Daphnia pulex: one gene and its partners. The protein of the gene in region 3 purifies or fractionates together with the protein of the main gene of each other region. This does not show direct contact. Links are inferred from orthologs where the notes say so. Each region holds a gene or a part of one and is shown on either strand. Other genes may lie near its edges. The genes, in order: DNA (cytosine-5)-methyltransferase 1-like, ATP-dependent DNA helicase Q4-like and NAD-dependent protein deacetylase sirtuin-1-like.

Region 1 (3,737 bases), on a different chromosome or scaffold from region 3:
ACACACAACAAAATCTCACGAACGCAACTGTAAAGAGAGAATTCACGCTCTTTACATAATAATAAGTTGCCGTATAACAAATACACACGATTTTTAGCAAAGGAACTTCTCCACTCATTCCACCTTCAAAGACTTTTTACATTTTAGTCTGTACGTGACTCACTACTAGTGGGGTGCGCTGAATTTAGAACAGCAAGTTTGTGAATGGGGTCCATCTTTTTATTGCAAACATGCACGTTTGCTGGAGTCCGCAGTTAACGAGATCGTCAACTTTTTATTTCGGTGCATGGCTAGTAAGGTAAACAGAAGGGAAAAAATTTTTTTTCGTGCGAAATATCTATATTAGTATCGATAAATAAAAGTAGGATACTAAAAAAGAAAGTTGTGAATAATGATCAAGGTTAATGAAGCCATGATTTATCGTTTCGGGAATAATGAGGTCATCATCTTCTATTTGTTGCATACGTTTGAAGTGAACTCATCAAACGTAGGCTATCATCTTCACGGTTTCTGGGATAAATTCCAGAATTTAAACATTCATCTTCTCTCATTTGGGGTAGTTTAAATGCAGTTTAAATACCGCAATTCAAACTCATGTAATTATTGAATTGTGTACTATACGTCGATACACGCATTGAAGGACGCACGGTTCTTACACTTTGTAGAAAGTTTGAATTTAAATTTTTTTATTTCTTATAATCTTATAATCTTATATCATTTTTTCATTTATTCATTTTATTTTAGATTGCGTCTTTTTTTAGAAGGTGGCACCACTGTCTCTGGCACTGTCTTCCATAATCCATAAAAAGGCGCGAAAAACGATCAGCTGAGAGCCATGACTCCATGAGTTAGTTGAATTGGCAGTGCTTTGTCAGTGAGAGATTTTGATTTTACGAATTCATTATTTTAGGTTTTTTTTAAAGAAGTCACGTCGGCCATCAGTGGATAATTTTCAACAAGTAAGTTTAAGTAGAATTATTATTCCCGATACATAAAACATACTAGACAGTTAACAATGTGCTTTAGCATTGTTTTTTTTTACAATAATTGCCTTATTCAAGTGTATTGGTATTTTTATAGGTATATTTGACAACCATAATGAGAATAGAATGCACAGATGGTGATGGGGTTGCAGGAAATGAAGTCAATGTGAAAGAAGAGCCCCCAGAACTTCAAGCTAATAGTGAATCAAGCCCAGACACTACACCCGTTGAAGAAGAAACCAAGCCGATGCCCAAAACAGTTGAAGAAGAAGCCAATAAGCCAACATCTAAACCAGTAACTGTATTGTCAAAGACAAGAGGAGTTAAAGTTAGGTATACATTTGATGAAGCTGCTGCGTCTGGTGAGGGGGACGATGATTTCCTTCCTGGCAACACAAAAAAAAAACGAAGAACTGCCAGCAGGCATGCAAAGGTAGAATTGCCAGATATTGGTGGCTATAGGCCATCAAGGAAGAAGAAAATCAACCGTAAAGATCCTAATCGCTGTCATGTGTGTCGTCAAAGGTAACTTAATCATTATTTTTCTTGTCTGTTATCATAAAATCAATTAATGATTTCATTTCCAAGGTTTGATTCTCCTGATTTGAAATATTTCCCTGGTCCACCAGCAGATTCCATTGAAGAAATTATTGCTCTAACTGATCCATCGTTGAGCTTGTTCACTGGTGAAGAAGAGGTCATGTCAGAATTGGATCAAAGACCCATCTTGAAGCTCACCCAGTTTGGCATTTACGACGAACCTGGCCATTTATGTCATCTAGACGGGGGTGCAATCGAAGCTAACCATTTACTCTTCGCTTATGGTTACGTTAAGCCTGTGTGGAACGATAACCCGGGTGTCGAAGGAGGTATTGCGACGAAAGAGATCGGGCCCATCAACGAGTGGTTCATCAGTGGCTTCGATGGAGGAGAAAAAGCAATCATGTGTATGTTTTAATTTATTAATTAGATGTTTTAAAAATATTCCTGTATTCATTTATCAATTTTCAGGTTTCGCCACTTCTTATGCTGACTACTATTTAATGTCGGCTTCAGAATTGTACGAACCCATCATGAACGAGTTGGAAGAAAAGATTTTTCTGAGCAAGACGGTCATCGAGCTCTTGATCGAAGACGACAACGCCGAATATGAAGATCTACTGACTAGACTGCAGAATTCTTTGATGCCCAATGGTTCCCGCGTATCGGAGGATTCTCTTTTGCGCTACGCCGAATTTGTCTGCGATCGCGTATATCACTTTGATGCAGCTGGAGCCGAAGACGAGCCGCCACTTATTCTTAGCCCGTGTATGCGTACGCTGATTCAATTGTCAGGTATCACACTCGGTAAGAGAAGAGCTACCCGAAAATTGGAGAAGAGACGCCAGCCTAAAGCCAAAAAAGGCCCCAACTGGACAAAAGCTACTACTACGCCATTGGTTGGTTACGTCTTCGAGAGCTTTTTCCGTGATCAAATGGAGCAAGGAGAGGACAAATTCGGCCCTACGTCTGCTCCTCGCCGTACTCGCTGTGGTATTTGCGAAGCCTGCCAGCAAACAGACTGCGGTAAGTGCAATTTCTGTCGAGACATGGTGAAATTTGGCGGTTCCGGTCGCAGCAAACAGAGTTGTGTCCTCCGGAAGTGTCCGAATAGAGCTGTTCAAGTGGCAGACGACGATGACGAACTGGACGCTGTTCTCGACACGGAAATTGAGGTGGTGAGTCTGGATGTCGACCACAAAAAACCTGTCAAGCGCCACGCCTACAAAATTGAATGGGATGGACCGGAATTGAAAGAAGTCGACGATCTCACTTTCTACTCTGCCGCGATTGTCAACGGAGACATGCGCGTCTTTGCCGGAGGCCACGTCACCATCGAACCGGATGATCCTAGCATTCCCATGTATATTGCCGAAGTCATAGCTTTATGGGAAGATGGGAAAAGTGGGGAGCAGTTTCTACACGCCCGCTGGTTTTGCCGTGGAACTGACACTGTGCTGGGAGAAACTTGCGACGATCCCAGAGAACTTGTTCTGATTGAAGATTGCGAAGACCTACTCCTGTCTGCCGTCGTGAAAGTTGTCAACGTCAAGTACAAACCAGTGGATCCCGTCAAATGGAAAGCAGAAGGTGGATCAGATGACCCGTCTTTATTTCAGAGCGAAGAAGATCATTCCGACACGACGTTTTGGTACCGCTATCTCTACCATGGACGGACCGGCCGTTTTGAAGATCCACCCGAATGCCCGGACGTAGTAAACAACATCAAAGGATGTCCCTGCTGTGATCGCCTGGATGTTATCCGCCAACGTGATTTTGCCAAATTGGGCAACAAGTTGGATTCAGGCGGTTTTGACAGCGTCACATGGCACGAATTGGATATCAAAGTCGGTGAAGCCGTTTTCCTCGAACCGGGCGCTTATGCAATGCGGGGGCCAGATGGGAGTATTGTTAAAAAGGAGAAGATTGATCCAGAGGAAGATGATATTTTCGGAGTAGAGTACGACGAAGAATATTACCCAGAAAAGTACAGGAAAACGGACAACATCAAAGGATCGAATAACGACACACCCGACCCATTCTGTATTGGCTATGTCGTTGGTATTGCCTATAATGGCATCCTGCGTAAGTTAATTATTAACAATTAATATTTAATTCATTCGTGTCTAACGTGATTTCTTTATTTTAGACAACAATTTGAATGCTCGTGAAGTCTGTCTAAAAGTTAAACGCATCTACCGTCCGGCCGACACC
Region 2 (2,305 bases), on a different chromosome or scaffold from region 3:
ATAGCCACATTCCCCTCGCCAGGTAAGTTACCTGCTTTCTGCCGTAAACGGCGTTGTTCCGTCAGTGCTGCTGCTGCTGCTGCCAAAATCGATTCATCCGCCAAACCGACCAAGAATCCTGTGGGAAACAGTGCAATTGAGCGCTTTCTGGAGGGGCGGGAGAGGTTATTGTTTGTCGGGCGCCTACTCTTCGCTTTCCTTGTGCTCCTCAGCCCGGGCTACTTCTTCCCCCTGCTCTTCTTCATCCGTACCTACTGCCACTTCTGGAAGCACAACGCCTCCGTCGACCAAGAAGAAGAAGTGTTTGAAAGAACCCACAGGTTGTTGTTTCAAAGTCTTTGTTTTTCTTGTAATAATCCCATCATTTATTCATTTATTCAGTGGGCCCTTCAGCTTCTTTCACGCCAAGGCCTTTCTAAAGTACAGCTGCCGCCTGTGCAGAGAAAAGATTAAAACGGAGAAAATGTTCCGCATTCATTCGAAAATCGGATCCAGTAGCTCATTTAATAAAACTGCTGCCTTCTCAGAGCCCGAAGTTCAGGATTACAGTGATGATTGCCCGCACAACCATTTCTATTAACCAACATGCCAACATAACCAACGAAATTTTTTTACTTAAACGGTACCTACTTTTGACATATAGAAAATGGTGGTTGCCTAGTACCCACATGACTAAATAAGTTTATATATTTTTCCCCTTACATTTTTAAAAATAGTTTGTCCCTCGAACAAAGTAATTGGGGTGGCGGTATTTTTTTTTAAATAATTGACAATTTGGCTAAGGAATTAAATATTTTATGTTCGTCTCAAAAATGTATCAATACAAGAAAAAAAGAGAAAATTAAGCTAAAAATTCATTTTTTTAAAAAGTATAGCAATCATCATTTTAGAGCTAGCAATTCTTGGGCGCCCATCCGGACGAGGAGGTTAAAATCTTGGTGAAGCTGGGCACGCCAATGTTGACGGGCTTTACCCCAAATTTCTGCCGGATAACACGGACTGGAGATGCCGTGAAGGATCCTGGCGATAGATCGGGCGGTGAAAGTCTGATCACGGTAATTGAGAATCAAACTGCGGATGGTGGCCCGGATGAATTGCTCTTGATTGTCCGGACAGAGGACGACCTCTTCAACAGGTTGACAAGCTCCAGCTTCTTCTTCGAAATAATCTTTGATGAAACTCCGCAATTTGTCGCTCTTGGTCTCGTCCACCGTCTCACAGCAGGAAATTGATTGGGAGTGAGAAATACTGAGCAACGCTTGATGGATGCGCTGGAGCTGCTGAATTTCAGTGGCCTCGCGATTCATGCAGCGCTGATGGATGAACTCTAAAGCGGCATCTTGCTCAGCCTCTGAAAGATCTCCGCGGACGTGCAGGTGGAACGCCAGGTCGCTAAACTCCACCAAGATGCCCGAACGTCTCGGTTTACCACCGATGGCGACGGCCGAACGATCCCATTCCAGTGATTTCAACTGACGTTTGACAGCGCCGCTTTCCCATCCTATTCGGCGGGCAACGTCGACAACGGCGAAGGTCCGGACGGCTGTCGTATCCGCTTTCTGTAGGGCAAGGGCTGCACCTAGAGCCGGACACTCTCTGGCGGCCATTTTCAGCTGGAGGAGTCCTCCGTAGCACCGGACAGTGCACGTAGCGTAAACTTTTGAACCCACTTCAAGGACCCAGCGAGACGGGTGAGATTCCAAGTGGCAGAGTAGCGTCGCAATATTCTCTTCCGGCATATCCAGCTCTTGAATGGTCGACTCAATAACCATGGCCACTTCGTGACCTTTGCATTCGCCGGAACCGTCTTCTTTCCGGCAATCGCAAGGTTCCGGTAAAATCTTTCTCATCAATTTTCTTAAAACGTGACGATCAGTGGAATTGGCGTAAATGAATCTCTTCAATTCTTGTAAATCTCTTCCCTGAATAAGAGAAAAACAATTAGGATCGTAATCCAATTAAACAGGATCATTTACTAAATTACCTCCGAGTTGAGGAAAACGTGGCAGTGAGCAGGTAAACCATCACGTCCAGCTCGACCGATTTCCTGGACGTAATTTTCGAAATTTTTCGGAGCGTTGTAGTGGATGATGGCCCGGATGTCGGACTTGTTGATACCCATTCCAAAGGCTACGGTGGCCACGACTATTTTCATCTTGCCCGTCATGAATTGTTTCTGCACAGAACTTCGTCGAGCTGCTGTCAATCCTGCGTGATAGGCTTCAGCGCTCCAGGATATGCCTCGACGACGACCGCCTCCTTTGCTCTCCAAATCCTTGACAGGATCTTTCAAATAGGTTCGGAG
Region 3 (3,681 bases):
GAAAAATGAAAATTCCACTTCCCCTTATCCATAATACAGGAAAAAAAAGAAATACTAAATACCATCGAGAGATTTCGTCTATATACACACGCTTGAAGCTTTTAAATAGAATCCATATTGTTAACATAACAATGGTAAAAACAGAAGCTTTGTCGTTGCTTCGGAATACGTCGTCAATCCATCGCTTTCCTTTTTACTCCATGCTCCGGGAAAGGTTGAGTTGAATCTCCTCCATCAATTCCAGACGAATCGCTGGAATCAGAGGATGAGTCAGAATCGGACTCTACCTCTTCGTCTGGGTCATAGAAGAGTTCAGCACCAGGAAACAGGTATCGACCAGGTTGGACGGTGAGATAAGTGTTTTCTGAATTTTATGCAAGGAAATGCATATAGATGACATAGACAACAACCGAACAAAAATAAATTACCTGGGAGTTGATCGGCAAGATTCACTTTGATTCGCGGCTCCCACCATCCGGTCATGTCATGAGTAACTGGTTCAACATCACCAGACTCGGCTGATTCCATTTCTAAGCTTCCTGTAGACATCCCACTGTCCCGGCGTAAAGGATCGTCTTGATCTCTTTTGGGGAAAATGGGTGCAGGTACGGCGACAGAAGGAGTGGGGCGTGGTGGTAGGCGACTGATCTCTGTTAGAGGTTCGCGGTAACAAATGTCATCTTTCCATTGTGTACCCAGTCTGATTGTTACAAGAAGATTGATGAGACAACAAATTTGGCTGATGAAAATTACTGTATACTAACAAATGACACAGTTGGTTGACGATAATATCGCAGTCCCCAAGCAGTTCAACATCAAAGACCATGTGGCGGAGAGGTTCGCGATTGATAAGAATTTGCGGAACATGATTCGGTAGGGCGCCTATTTGAATCAAGAGAAACTTATTGCATATGAACTTTAAGGTTACAAGATGACATTTAAAATAACTTACATGGGATGAGTGCGACAGGGCGGACTTTGAGCGATGACCCAATCACGATTATCAGGTCACATTCTTCTTTATCGAGTACCATAGCGCGGTGAAATTCGTCTGGCATTCCTTCTCCAAAGAAAACAATGTCAGGCTTCATGATCGGCTGGGCCGATAATGCCACCGACGACGATGTACTGGCCTCGTCTTCATTTTTCGACACATCCGAGCATTTCGGACAAAGTGGAATGCGTTGTTCCATTATGTCTTTTTCTATCTCGTTCGAGGGGACGCGATGTTGGCAGCGCAGGCAAGTGGCAGTAGCAAACGAGCCATGACATTGGATAACCCTTTCGATATCTGCTTGTTGTTCTAGTGTATCTATGTTTTGCGTGTAGTTGCGCAAAAGCTTGTTTTGTTTCTCTAGCAAACGAATGAACCTAAACAAAATATCGTTTCATTAGCGAAATTTCAAAATTGTCAAGAGAATTTGTTTACTTGTGGCATTTAGAAGGTGTAAACTGTCCTGGCCAAAGGTCTCGGGCGAATTTAAAGAACGGTCGGGGATCTTTTCGGAAGTAATGGATATCAAACATAGCTTGAGGATCGGGCAAGTCAGGGAAGTCGACGGCTAAGCGAGCGTAAATTCCATCACGGCTACGAAAGTCGGGAATACCACAGGAAACAGAAACCTAAACAAAATTTGTTCAAATATAATGAGGTAAATTATTTTATAAAAAAAAAAAAAAAAATTACCCCTGCTCCTGTAAGAACTAGAATCTTTTTACAGCTACGGAGTAATCTGACGGCATCGGATATTGCATTTATGTGGCGTAAACGTTCCCGCCTTGGAGGTTCACTGACAATATTCACGATTATCTGTTTTATTCAATAATTATGATTAGTTGCCTTGACAATGCTACAAATTTATAATTTTACCTTCCAAAGGGTGACATCGTCAAGATGGGTGGGGATTTGAGCATCATTTGGTACCAACTCATTCAGGATGGTTCGAGGATTGGTACCAAGAAGCATCTGTTGTTGCACCCAAGACATCGTCCCTGATGATGGCTCCCAGTCATGATTGCTCAAGTCACTCAACCCACTTATGTCTGAAACATCACTATCTGAGGAGGTATCATCATCTTTCTCCAAATTGCCCATTGAATCATCAGCATCTTGAATGGCTGGCAAAGCATAGCTACAAATAAATAAATAATAAAGTTAGACCATATGTTTGTACACAATAAAAAGAAGACATTAGTCCACATTACCTGGTAGATGGTAAATCATTAGTGAGATTTTCATCCTCGCTGCTGGCTAAAGACGTTAACTCGCTGAAGCCTGAATCCCCAGCGTTGAACATTTCACAGCTTCCTAGTTGTCCTGCATCATTTGCTGAAATTTAAAAAAAAAAAAAAAATATTTCAAGTAAGCTCACAATGGATCAACTCTACAGCCATCAAGAAATTTCAACTCAAGAAACCAAAACAGTATTTGACAAGTGTCATCACACTGTTATGACATTCAAACATGCCGCCCCAAAATTTTGGCAACGCAGCAATCGACCAAAAAGAAGGGCGTCTCCCCTCCCCCCCCCCCATCCGCCAATGGCCGCACTAACGAAGCAAAAGGCCATTTACCTCAAAACCGAATGCAATCTTTTGCTAACAATTTTGATTAGGTTCACAAGTACATTAAATGAATGAAATCGATCAAACGGGTACTTACAAAGCTGTTGGCCCTCAATAAAGGACTGTGAGATGTCAATCGGCAGCAAAGTTCTGCTTCGTTTTACGGGACTGTGAAAGTTCTCGCCTTGTTCGTCGGCCATTGCTTCGTCTTCCGTCGATCGTGGGGTAGAGGGCGCTTCTTCTTCTTCACAAATTTCGGGCCGCCAGGTGGCAGGTCAGCGTTGCCAGTATGAATCGAATTCGTCCCGAAACCGGAAGAAAATATGCGCAAGGACATGTATACATGAAATAGGAAGGGAATTAATTCAAGGCCTTTCCTTGTCGAGCTTTTATATCAACCTTAGTCCACTTTCCGCACGTTGCGGTTCAGATAAGGCATTGTGATTTTCGCATAAGGAGGAAAGCTGCTGATTATAATTTTTTTTTTAATAGGAGGTTTATCAGAAATGCAGTATCACCAAATTAAACTGAGAAAAAAATTAGTTCAAGATGTACTAAACATCACGAATGAGGTTACGCGATATCGGGAAAATAATTCACGTATGGCATTTGTACTAGAGAAGCGACCCCGAGGTTTGACTGACTTATAATATTCGTGGACCATAAAACCAAATCGCATAGGGGTGAGCCGGCCCGCGGTGCGTTATACCCCCAAAAGTTGTAAAACATGGTCTAGCGATTTGACGAACTTAATTAAATCTGATAGGCATAGCACACGGGGCCGCCCGATATGGCCGCTCTTGTTTGAAAGCGTGCGTCACAACAATTGCGCTGAGTGTGTGTGAGGATTATTAGTGCTGCGGGATCCGGTAAGTACTTGACTCCAGTCGAGAACGATCAGGCTTGATAAACAACAGCAGAGCTCAGTTGCTGGATTTACCTTCCGACAAGCAAGGAATTACTACTTTTTTCAATGTAAGTGAATTCATTGTTTTCCCACACGTAATAACCGAACTCAAGTCGTTCGTGCGAATTTCAGACTTTCACAGGAATGGATTTTTCAAACGTCAACTTCCCATTTCCTTTGTGGATTGTCCGTCCCACCTGGGAGTGCGC

Evidence for each region.
Region 1: the proteins of NAD-dependent protein deacetylase sirtuin-1-like (region 3) and DNA (cytosine-5)-methyltransferase 1-like purify together in Homo sapiens (affinity purification with western blotting; 3 studies listed by BioGRID and IntAct, with this or other methods). This does not show direct contact. The link is inferred for Daphnia pulex from reciprocal best matches to the Homo sapiens genes SIRT1 and DNMT1.
Region 2: the proteins of NAD-dependent protein deacetylase sirtuin-1-like (region 3) and ATP-dependent DNA helicase Q4-like purify together in Homo sapiens (affinity purification with mass spectrometry; 3 studies listed by BioGRID). This does not show direct contact. The link is inferred for Daphnia pulex from reciprocal best matches to the Homo sapiens genes SIRT1 and RECQL4.

The regions. Positions count from the first base shown.
Region 1 is NC_060019.1:5,827,850-5,831,586, reverse strand, and holds the start of DNA (cytosine-5)-methyltransferase 1-like, read left to right. Parts: upstream 1-789; 5' UTR 790-959; intron 960-1,080; 5' UTR 1,081-1,098; coding exon 1,099-1,508; intron 1,509-1,571; coding exon 1,572-1,930; intron 1,931-1,994; coding exon 1,995-3,608; intron 3,609-3,672; coding exon 3,673-3,737. UniProt on the Homo sapiens protein: Methylates CpG residues. Preferentially methylates hemimethylated DNA. Associates with DNA replication sites in S phase maintaining the methylation pattern in the newly synthesized strand, that is essential for epigenetic inheritance.
Region 2 is NC_060025.1:8,764,477-8,766,781, reverse strand, and holds the end of ATP-dependent DNA helicase Q4-like, read right to left. Parts: coding exon 1,985-2,305; intron 1,923-1,984; coding exon 882-1,922; 3' UTR 622-881; downstream 1-621. Other genes in the region: uncharacterized protein LOC124203353, read left to right, coding at 1-320, 382-580. UniProt on the Homo sapiens protein: An ATP-dependent DNA helicase which unwinds dsDNA with a 3'-overhang in a 3'-5' direction. Does not unwind more than 18 bp of dsDNA. May modulate chromosome segregation. The N-terminal domain (residues 1-54) binds DNA Y-shaped DNA better than ss- or dsDNA.
Region 3 is NC_060021.1:10,714,588-10,718,268, forward strand, and holds the start of NAD-dependent protein deacetylase sirtuin-1-like, read right to left. Parts: upstream 2,852-3,681; 5' UTR 2,766-2,851; coding exon 2,663-2,765; intron 2,330-2,662; coding exon 2,206-2,329; intron 2,133-2,205; coding exon 1,871-2,132; intron 1,811-1,870; coding exon 1,688-1,810; intron 1,624-1,687; coding exon 1,430-1,623; intron 1,372-1,429; coding exon 953-1,371; intron 883-952; coding exon 765-882; intron 701-764; coding exon 429-700; intron 365-428; coding exon 174-364; 3' UTR 1-173. Other genes in the region: neuropeptide FF receptor 2-like, read left to right, coding at 3,617-3,681. UniProt on the Homo sapiens protein: NAD-dependent protein deacetylase that links transcriptional regulation directly to intracellular energetics and participates in the coordination of several separated cellular functions such as cell cycle, response to DNA damage, metabolism, apoptosis and autophagy.